Linked DNA regions of Nothobranchius furzeri. The main gene of each other region encodes a partner of the protein of the gene in region 2 in a complex. Links are inferred from orthologs where the notes say so. Each region holds a gene or a part of one and is shown on either strand. Other genes may lie near its edges.

The links. The genes of interacting proteins can lie anywhere in the genome.
Region 1: eif3i (region 2) and eif3s6ip share a complex: the UniProt entries of both Homo sapiens proteins name them as parts of the eukaryotic translation initiation factor 3 (eIF-3) complex. The link is inferred for Nothobranchius furzeri from reciprocal best matches to the Homo sapiens genes EIF3I and EIF3L.

What each region holds. Positions count from the first base shown.
Region 1 is NC_091752.1:5,219,086-5,224,688, reverse strand, and holds part of eif3s6ip (eukaryotic translation initiation factor 3 subunit L), read left to right. Parts: intron 1-3,870; coding exon 3,871-3,932; intron 3,933-4,034; coding exon 4,035-4,104; intron 4,105-4,192; coding exon 4,193-4,266; intron 4,267-4,873; coding exon 4,874-5,045; intron 5,046-5,603. UniProt on the Homo sapiens protein: Component of the eukaryotic translation initiation factor 3 (eIF-3) complex, which is required for several steps in the initiation of protein synthesis.
Region 2 is NC_091751.1:3,239,353-3,244,946, reverse strand, and holds the start of eif3i (eukaryotic translation initiation factor 3 subunit I), read right to left. Parts: upstream 3,931-5,594; 5' UTR 3,794-3,930; coding exon 3,791-3,793; intron 3,483-3,790; coding exon 3,390-3,482; intron 3,298-3,389; coding exon 3,210-3,297; intron 3,133-3,209; coding exon 3,067-3,132; intron 2,948-3,066; coding exon 2,798-2,947; intron 1-2,797. UniProt on the Homo sapiens protein: Component of the eukaryotic translation initiation factor 3 (eIF-3) complex, which is required for several steps in the initiation of protein synthesis.

The DNA of each region.
Region 1 (5,603 bases), on a different chromosome or scaffold from region 2:
TTCAGCGCCGACTGGAAGCGGTCCGCCTTTGCAGGGAGAGCGGGAGGCCTGGAGGAAGTTGCCGAGAGTCGTGGGTGCAGGTGGGCTGCAACCAGCGGTTCCATCGGCGGCATGCGAAGCATGCCAGCCCTCTCCATCCCCTCGAAGTCCAGCGAGGAGGCTCCTTGGACCGGAGACCTTGAGCTGAAAGGGTGTTTGTCCCAGGAGGACCTCACTTCTTGGAGAAGCTCCGGGAAGGCGGGAAGGAGGGGCTTTGCCGCCCTTGTGGCCTGAGGCAGCTTCTTACCCTCGTAGCGGGACCTGACAGCCTCAGTGACCACGGTGGGCCAAGGGATGTTGAGCCTGGTCGCAGCGCGTCGGCAGACTGACTGCATGTCCAGGTGGGCGGCCGGAGAAGCCGCTCCATCCCTGGGAGAGGACGGAAAGCTAGGCATGGAGGCCTGAGCGACGGGGAGAAAGACGTCGTCATCCTCGTCCTCCTCTGAAATGAGGAGTTCCGAGGTGTCCTCGTCGTCTCCGTAGTCCAACTCCAACACGTCCTCGACGGGGTGGCTCGGACCGGCCAGTTCGAGCTGTGAGCCCCAGCTGAGTTCGGCACACGGTTCCGGCTCCGGGAGGGCATGTTCGCTGGCGTCCCCAGGCGGTGGCCCAGGGGCCGGCAGGCAAGGGTCCTTCCCCGACAGGCTAGCTTGGCGCGCTAGCCGCCGGCGAAGGCTCTTCAGGGTGAAGCAGGCACAGTTCTCACATGACCCGGGGACTTCCAATGCCAGCTGGGCGTGTTCCAGCCCGAGGCAGCTCGAGCAGACCTTGTGCGGGTCTTTGCTTGAGATTTTGTTCCCACGGGTACAGAGGCGAGCTCCTGAGCCATCGACTCCTCTGGTGGGAGGAGCGGCTTCCATGTTGGCTAACTGGTGTGTTAGCAGAGAGCGAACAGGTGCACTGGAGTGTGAAGCTGCTCGTTATGCCCCGAACCTATGGTGAAGGTCAGGACAGAAGGACGGTAAGTTAACGTTCGGCGACGGAGAGAATATTAGAAGGCTCCGTCTGTGAACAGTTGAGCTAACTTACCTCAGAGATAAGCGACCACCGAAGCGAGAAGAGGTGATTGAATAGTGCGTGCGTTGGGACGCTTGCTACTTATAGTAGCATGGGGACGCGTACGTCACGGTCACTGGCCAATCAGGATTGGCGTATTGAGATAAGTGCTTCTGAGGAATCCGCGGAGGGGCGTATCCCATAGTGAGACATCGAAACGAATGTTAAGAAAGAGAACTCCTGGTTCCCAGTATAAAAAGACCAATATACTTATAGCTCATAGTCTATGACCCAAGAGCTATAGACCTTGGTAGGGCTGGGGGTAAACGATTATTTTTAAAACGATTATTCTGACGATTATTTTATCGAATAGTCGACTATTCTAATGACTATTTAGAAAATTAATCTAATGATTATTTTTCTATTGCACAATTAACAAAAACCAGAAAATCTCAAATAAATTCCTCAAAATAAGTGATAAATTGTTACTGTAAGAGAATAAACACTACAGGCCTTCCATTTTGTATAACACTGCTTTTATTGTGTTGCGGTTGGTTATGTTCTGGTGACGTGTAGAACTTGGGAGTGCAGGCTGCTGCCTGAGAGGTGGTAGAAGACGGAGTGTCTCCATGCTGCTTTGTTTTGGTCACTTATGTGCGTGAGGCGAGTGGTGTTACGACCCTTCCTGGGGAGTTTGGCTCGTGTGCAAAAAGGAAGGGACAATAACGGGATTTAAAAGTTAAAATGATGATCAGGTTTATTTACAACAACAAAAATCATAAATCTTTCCATCCACAGGTTGGGAATAATAAAACTAATTCTGCCTGAGGGGAATTAAAACAAAGTACAAATAAGTAGGGGTCCAAACTCTAAACTGGGCGGTTAAACCAAACTCAAGATGATATTTTAAACTAAACCGAAAACCCACAACACTCTAAATGTAATAAAAGGGAGATCTGCACCACAAAAAAGATTAACTCTAAACCAAAACGTAACAGCTTATCCAAACGCAAGAAGCTGTTAGCGAAGATGCTAACAGTAGCTTTACCAACGTTAAGTTCAAGTTACCAAGTTTAAATAAACCAAAAACACCCAGCAGCAAACAGACCAGCACGGAGGAGAGACTGCTACCACCAAAACAGCTCTCCTCATGTCTGAAAGAAGCTCCTTAATGAAGGGAGAAACGCTCCCGGTGATGTTCTACATCTGCGGTAGAGACGAAGCAGCGCATCTGACCCCGGAAGTTGTTGTCCGTTGCCGGGAGACGAAGGCGGGCAAAACAGGAAAATAATCTAGTAGTGGACGGACGTTATTCCGGGTCTTCGGTATTTGGCGGAGATGTTGGTGAAGGCGGAGAAGAGGGCGAACTAGAGGAAAAACAGGCAGATTCCTCCTCTATTTACAAACTCCTGGGGATGCAACAAGTGGGCGCGGTGCGTCGACTTCCGCATCTGACGTCGACAAATTTTTAGAATCGAGCCGTCGACGTCATCGATGCGTCGCTACAGCCCTAGACCTTGGTTTAACTCATTTAAGTCTAACCAGTACAGACCCAAATACTGACAGCAAGAATTATACAGTGGCATTTATAACAAATAAATACAAATAAATTGTTGTTCACAAAATGTTGCATAACATTTATTGAGTCATGTCAAGGTGCTGTAGGAGCGTGCACTAGCACCGTGTCCTCAGAGAGATTAGTTATTAGTTATCAGCGTGAGGAACTTATTTCTACCTTATTTATAAACTATTTATTTACAGGTCCATCAGTTAATGTAATAATTTTCCCAACCACAGCTGCACCCCCACCCCCCAACCCGGTTTCTCAGCAATCGGGGCAAGCTGCACGTGTGTTTAGCACGCCGCACGCGCACATTTAGCCGTTTTTAGCAGCTCACGAGCCCGCAGGTACGGTGTGTGTGTCACTCACTCTGGTTACTCCAACAGGGAGCCGGTGTTCTGAGAAAGCGTCCTACTTTGGCAAAACGTCCTACCCGTAGTAGAATTTTACGTTGTTTTACATGACACAAACCCTATCCCTAACCCTAACCAAAGGAATGTATTTTCCTGCAAATATGACAGCGGAGTAGCATTCCCCTTTTGTGTTGTGCGCATGCGCGCACATGCTCAGTAACAACGGGTAGGAAGTTTTACCGGGTAGGAGAAATTCTCAGAACACCGGCTCTGAGAGCTGTTTCTTTAGCAACCGACACATCACTACATCAATCCCTTTCCTAATGTCCTGAAGAACGGTCCGGAGCGCAGGTGGAGTGTTTAGCTAACCTGCAGGAAATGTCGACGACAGTTATCCAGAAAGTAGCTAAGGGTTACCAGAGATGTTTCTGACGTGTTCGCTAGGTACTTTTAGGATTTAAAAAGTCAAGAAGGGGGTCTGAGAAGCTGTTGGAAATAGCGTCAAAGTCGCTAAGTTGGCATCACTGTGGGAGGAGCGCTTCATTTGCAACTCAGGGCAGCGCAAGTGGGAGGAGCAAATAACCGGCTTGTTTTGTTTTTATAATCGTTCTAAACTCTGATCGTAATCGTGATTAAAATTCGATTAATTGAGCGGCCCTACCTGCTGGTGGTGGTTGGAGGGCGCGGTGGCGCCAGTGCTCGGCAGCCTCGCCTCTCTCAGCGCGCCCCAGGGCAGCTGTGGCTACATCGTAGCTCATCCCCTCCAGCGTGTGAACGTATGAATGATGCACTGTAGTGTAAAGCACTTTGGAGTCCTCCGACTCTGAAAGGCGCTACAGTGCGGGTCATTATCATTAATGAATGAAATCATCTTGTTCTGGCTCATCATAAAAAATGCTGAATGTAATTTTATTTGAACAGATGCTGTGTTCCTGATCCTCTATAAGGAACTCTATTACAGACACATCTATGCTAAAGTCAGCGTGAGTAAATCCTTAACTCAGACCTCTGGCACTCTTCCTATCGGCTGAAATGTGGAGCGATTTTTGCGTTTTGTAGTAAAAACGTTTTGTGTTTGTCACCAGGGAGGACCCACTTTGGAGCAGAGGTTCGAGTCGTACTACAACTACTGCAACCTGTTCAACTACATCCTCAGTGCGTCCATTCTCTCTCCTCCTTTGTTCCAATTGTGTAAATTATTTCTTGACACGTCGGTTTTATGAGAAAATTTGATTGCAAACAGATGCTGATGGCCCCGCCCCCTTGGAACTCCCAAACCAGTGGCTCTGGGACATCATCGATGAGTTCATCTACCAGGTCTCTTTCAGGATATTCATTTTCCCAACACGAGTCACATAAGTTTAGAACATTTTATTCAGTTTGGTTCCAGTGTTTTCTGACATGCATCGATATTTTTTATAGCCCGGCCAGCCAGGCTCCCATTCAGATAACCCCACCTCCTGCAAGTTCTAACCGAGCCAGCGCACGTCACACACCCCAACGTTCATTTTCTCGTAAACAACGAAGATGGCGTCTGAAGCAGAGCTTGCTGCGGCTCTTTGCTCTGTTCTAAATGACCTGGACTTGTCTTCGAAACCACGAGTAGAAGCACTAAAAGCCTTTCGTAAGAAATGTTTGCGCTGTCGCCGGACGCCATCTTTGACTACAGCTAAAAAGCTACAGCGTCACATGATGCGGTCGTCATTTCTGCCTTTTTCCTGATTGGTTATTTATGAGCTGGCTAGTCCCGCCCCTCATGGTGCTCTCTGCCTCGAGTATCCTGACTCGTCCTCTGTGTGGAACAGACGGAGAACGAGTCTGTCGGGCATATTCAGCTCGTCTCCCGTTTCCACCCAGCAACCCCACGGGAAGTACAGACACGTGGTGGTGACTAAAATGGGAATTCTGTTTATTCCTTTCACAGTTCCAGTCCTTCAGCCAGTACCGCTGTAAGACGGCCAAGAAGTCTGAGGAGGAAATTGAGTTCTTGAGGAACAACCCAAAGATCTGGAACGTCCACAGTGTCCTCAACGTTCTCCACTCCCTGGTGGATAAGAGCAACATCAACCGTCAGCTTGAGGTCTACACCAGTGGAGGTAAAGAGCCTTTAACTCATTCACTGCCAATGACGACTAAAGTCATCATTTGCATGTTTTTACTGTGTGGATGTCGGACGAGCCCCCGAACCGTGAGAACAAACATCTCCGCTCTAAAGCTGATCTTCAACCGCGTACGTCACACGTCACGTGATCAGGAAGCAGAACATCCATGTGTTAGGAGATCGTTTTGGGCCGCTGCTTTAAAAAAAAGTGAGGCGCGAACCGGAAAAGCGTCTGCCGATCACAATTCAACAACGGATTATGAACGAATGGATAACGCTCGAAACGCGCGGATTCTTCCTGATGTAAGAGGTGAGTCTCCGCTTTGTTTGGGTTGTTTTGGCGTCGACATCATGCTAGCGCGCAACGTTCTGTCACTCTTAAAAAAACAGTAACCCCCAAATTCCACTACCTCCGCTCCGGTCCGCCCCCGCCTTCCGCAGCCGCTCGCTTCCGAACTCGATTTTTACTGGTACCCGCTCTACAACGGCTCCGCTCCGGTGCGGAGACAAGCATGCGCGGGATTTTCGAGATCTTGCGATACAGTCCGAGCAA
Region 2 (5,594 bases):
AAAACTCTAAACACAAAATACTTCAATAAACGGGACACACTTCTTTCCTGCAAATACAATTTCACAGGTGTTGCTAATACCTATGATTCTTCAAGGGATGTGCTCAAAGAGGAGTTCAACATTATGAATACAATATAGTGTTTTATTTTACAAATACCATTATAAACACAAACTTACGTCTTAAGAAACATTATTTTAATAACGAAACTGCTAAATTCTTTCCAACAGTATAGATGTGTAGTGTATTTTGTCCGAGTCGGTTTGCCGTACTTTGACGTCATCGGCAGTCAAAGGACCCCGAGCCGATCTTGCACCCGAGCAGATCCTGTACCGACACCGGTACGTTTGAACGTGCCCATGCCCGCGCCCTATAACCCGGTGCGCCCTATGGTCGTGAAAATACGGTATCTGATTAGAAGGCTACTTGAGTACTGAGTATCATCTGGTCTAATATTTTTAAAATGATGACATCAAACAGACAAAAAATTTTGAAGTTATGGGCAAATATTGGTATTTTAAAGACTAAAGGGGAAAAATGTAAACAAATAAACAACATAATTACAAAATAACACGTTTTAGGCAAAATTTAGACACAAACTGAGGACAATATTTTCCTGACATACAGGGTTTATTTAGTTGTCTGAAAATGTAACACGTTTAAAAAAATACCGCGATAATACCGTTTTCATTTTGGTTACGATAACCGCGAGGCTACATTTTCACACCGTGACGACCCTACATCACACCATCTTCAACTTGATTCAGGACACGTGCACAAAACATGTCAATTCATTTTGAAATGTTTCAGTGTGGGAAAAGTTGCTGCACACGTGTTATTGAGGAAATCTACGTGTGTTTCAACAGAAGCATAGTTGGCACTTTTATGACCTTCTTTAGCTTAAAATAGTCTCTAAATTGAGATATTTTGGATGTTCTTTAGCCTGGCACGCCAGACTAAATCCATAATATTATTTAATGTTCCATTGCCTGTCGTGGGGCGGGTTCTACCGTTGTCTTTCAAACAATCATTGCACCCTACTGGACAACGAACAACGTGGAGTACTCACCGCAACCTCTGTAAACAAGGATGTCTGCCGTTGAAGGCGGCAAAAATACATCCTTTTTCTAAATAAAAGACTAAAACACATCTGCCAGAATGCTGCTAGGAGGCCTCAGAAGTTCCGGTGGAGCGTTCCCACACCAAACATTACAAGGCAAGAATTTGGTCTAGTTCACTAGGCTAGACGATCTTAACTTATTTCTTCGTCTAATAGTCTGGTACATGAATCAATGCAATTTTGAAAAACAGTGACCACTGAGCTGCTACATGGAATAAAGGAATGAGTGAATTAGGGGTGGACCGATTATATTGGTTGGCCAATGTTTAGTTTTTTATTCATCGGCTGTTTTTTCTTAGTAAAGCTGATTTAAAGTCAGGCACATCTATAGTCACCCTGGTGCTGTTGCAGAATTTAATTCAAATTTTTTCCCCAACATTCACTAATAACATCTGCATAATAAATACTCTAAATCAGGGGTGCCCAATCCTGGTCCTGGAGGGCCGGTGTCGGTACAAGATCGGCTCGGGGTCCTTCGACTGCCGATGACGTCAAAGTACGGCAAACCCACTCGGACAAAATACAGTACACATCTATACTGTTGGAAAGAATTTAGCAGTTTCCTTATTAAAATAATGTTTCTTAAGACGTAAGTTTGTGTTTATAATGGTATTTGTAAAATAAAACACTATATTGTAGTCATGATGTTGAACTCCTCTTTGAGCACATCCCTTGAAGAATCATAGGTATTAGCAACACCTGTGAAATTGTATTTGCAGGAAAGAAGTGTGTCCCATTTATTGAAGTATTTTGTGTTTAGAGTTTTTGACGTCTTGTCCATGCGTAGTTCATTACGCTCATAGCTGCTAGCCAAAACTCTGGAGTTAAAAGTTTTCTGGCTTTACTAAAATACCTGTCTGTACTTATTTGATTGATGGTATTTTTACTTTCTATTAGACTCCAAATGTAATCATTTGGCACGTTTCTAATTCATAATTTGATCATGTAATCGGCGATATTAGCATTAGCATTCCTATGGGTTTTTCCATGTATATTAGCATTGCGCTAACCACTCGCTGCCAAATTGCAGCCTTTGCGATTAGAAAATCTCCTTTTGTCACATCGCAATTTAATTACACATGCAGTTAATCGTTCAGCCCTAATATACATGCAGCTCTATGCTCAAAGTGTATTTTCAAAGAGGTAATGATGGATTTCTTTGTAAAAGTTGTCCATCTTTCCAACAGAAAGATTTGCCTGGACCAACGTAACGTGATAACAACGTAACGTGATTACGTAATTCCGTAAGGTTCATGTGCAGCCAATCAACTACTTAGACGTCATCGGCAGTCGACGGACCCTGAGCCAATTTTGCACCCGAGCAGATCCTGTGCCGACACCGGTATCCAACAGGTTTTGTGGTTTTTCTGCTCCTACAGACTTGATTCAGTGGTTGAAACACCTGTGCAGCAGCTCATCAGGCGCTGCAAAAGACCGCTAATTAGCTGCTGATTGAAATCAGGAGTATTGAAACAGAGTTCAAACTAAAACATGCAGGATACCGGCCCTCCAGGACCAGGATTGGTCTAAATTAACTTTATTTAGGTGTCTGACTGACATTAAAAATTGCAAAAAGTGTAAGAAAGTTTGTTTAAAATGGTATATATCCAGTCCATATACTGTGGCCACACCATTGCAGAACATGTGTGCGTGTGTGTGTTTGCGCATTTAATGTTTACCTATTTGCTGTGGATCCCTCAGGTCAAAGAAGTTCAGGAAGCACTGGTAACCCATCTGCTTGTCGGTGGAGAACATGATGATGTTGCCGCTGAAGTCGAACCCACACGTCCTGACGGCAGAGTTGGTGTTGAGCAGAGCCAGCTGTTTACCTGTGAAAACACATTAAAGATGTCATTTAGACAGCATGATGTCAGGTTTACAAACTATCCCAATACCCTAAAAATCATGTCCACCTCTTTGGAAAAGCACATTGTTAAGGTTTACTTACCAGTCTCACAGTCCCACAGCCTGCAGCTGTTGTCTGCTGATCCTGTTAACACGTTCTTTGTGTCCCCTGAGACAACTAGTTAAGATGCCTAACTTCACTGACAGACACCCCTAGCTTACATTAGGCAGAGGTGCAAAGGATACAGTCACAGTCAACACACCACACAGCTCCGGTGTGTCCATTGTAGGTCCCGAGCCTCTCTCCGTTCACAGAGTACCACGCGTTGGCAACCTGGATAGCAGCAGAACAGCAGGGATGAGTTTGGCTGCTCCCAAACGTCGTGTTGAATGATCCGACAGAAGAGCGAGTGTGTACCAACTCACTGTATCTTTAGCCACCGAGAAGAGCAGATCTCCTTCTCTGTTGTATTTGATTTGTGTGATGGACCTCTCGTGGCCCTGGAGCAAAATGGGTTTCTAGAAACACCGATAACGGTTCAGATTAAGCTAGCATTTACACATGACTGTTTTAATTGAAAAAAGAAAGAATAACGTAGCTTTGACTTGCCTAGGCGTAAAGCACCAACACTATACGAGTCACAGAAATCTCTTTCATAGCTTAGCTAACTCAAGACTTCTGCCAAAATGAATATGTACATTAGCTAACGTGAAAAGCTATAGCTAGCCACAACAGACAAAGTAAAACCCCAAACTACAGCGACAAGCTAAAGAACAAAAACTGAAAACCGCCAGGTAAACATTGCCTTGTAAATAAATATACCAACCATTGTCGTCAGCTAGGTGTTTCCAGATGCTTTAGTCAATTTGCTGCGCCTCACAATGGGAGAAAAGTTAAACCCTCATGTGTCAGACACCGGAGCTGTGGCGGAAGAGAAGGCTTCCATTTTCTTCTTCGATGGTATTAACCGCAGATGGACGACCTGCCGCCCCCTCCTGGACAAATGTGGTATGAAGGACTTTCTGGAATCTAGAAAATAAAGTAATTTGATCCCAAACTTGTGCTCGTTTCAGTCCTGCTCCTTATCAGCTCATTTGTGAATATTTAATCCCGAATACTGCTACATACATGATATTTATCAACATAATGTATGATAACATGCCACCCTCCTGTATAAGTTGTAAATCATTTTGCATTTCTGTCAGTCACGAAACCACTCCTTCCTCACCAGTTTCTTTTATTACGTTTAGTTTCTGTCACTTAAATTTACTTTTCTGACAGTGATTTTATTGGATTCTTTTTGAAGGTCATCAAATACAGTATTTAAAAAGAAAAATTAGTCCTGTGCCCTTCATTCTGGAAATATGGTGACACAAAATCTCAAAAATCACAATAAATTATCTCCATAGTTCTCAAAATTCTCATTATGACACAAATAATTCACTGTAAAAAATAATCTGCCAGAAAATCAGACATACTCTAATTTTATTTAAAATCAGGGCCAGAAAATAACATACTGCAAAAGATAAACTACAACAGGGAGACATCTTTGGTTTATATGAAAAGTAAACAGTACAGTGAATACATCCTATGGTAGACTGAAAAACATTTGCATTTCTGTTTCGGATGGCATTGCTTTGTCGAAACTACATATGTAGTGCACAGGGGAAACAGGCGTGTGTTTGGAGGAAACCAAATCAAATTAGACTTCTCCTCTCAGTTTTCTCACTTGGCTCAGATCAATGCACATTTCAAAAGCACCCAATGTAAAAGTATCAACCCCTTGGAAGAAAAAGGCCTTAAACTGTGAGATATGTCGTCCCCGACACATTTATGCAGAACAGTGGATATGATGAGATTACATTCTCAGCTAAGTGCTCGTGGGTCGAGGCCACAGAATAAAACCAAGATGCAAGCGTTGCATAGAGGAACTTTGACATTCTTTAGAATAAACCTGACCAGAAGCCTTTGCCGTTCCCAGGACCATCACAGATATAAACAGGTACATCCCACACACACACGGAACAAAGATGGAGTTAAATGAGATAAAAGTGCTAATACTAATAACTAAACTGGTAATGTGCAACATAACCCAGGAGAGGTAAGGATGACAAATTTGGAGTAAAATGAATGAAAATGATCAGCTTAAATGAAAATATCCTTTATTTTAACCCCCGATATCAGTGACTGTATGATTTCAACAATAAATACAGACTCACATTTAAACACTACACAAATGAATAAGAGTTCAAACGTTTTAGTTCTAAAACGTTCTTTAATAATCCAGGATTTACTCTGCCAAAAAAAATCATAATAAAAAAAGGATAAAAGGCTGGACTGAAAAGCTTCCCTCAACAGTCCCACACAGCTCTTACTTAAAGGAAGGAATGGTAGAGATGGAAGAAAACAACACTTAAGACACACACACACACACACACACACCTGTGGTAAACCTGCTTAGGTGGTGTCCTCCCACACAGCTCAGTAAAGCCTTCAGCAACAACTCTAGTTATTGTAATAAAATGATCTGAACTAGCTTAGTTTCAGCTGGAGAGGATGGGGTGAAGGAAGCCCGTCTGCAGATGACGCTGGGAGGACACACGTTAACCCTTCTGTTGGACTCATCTGGT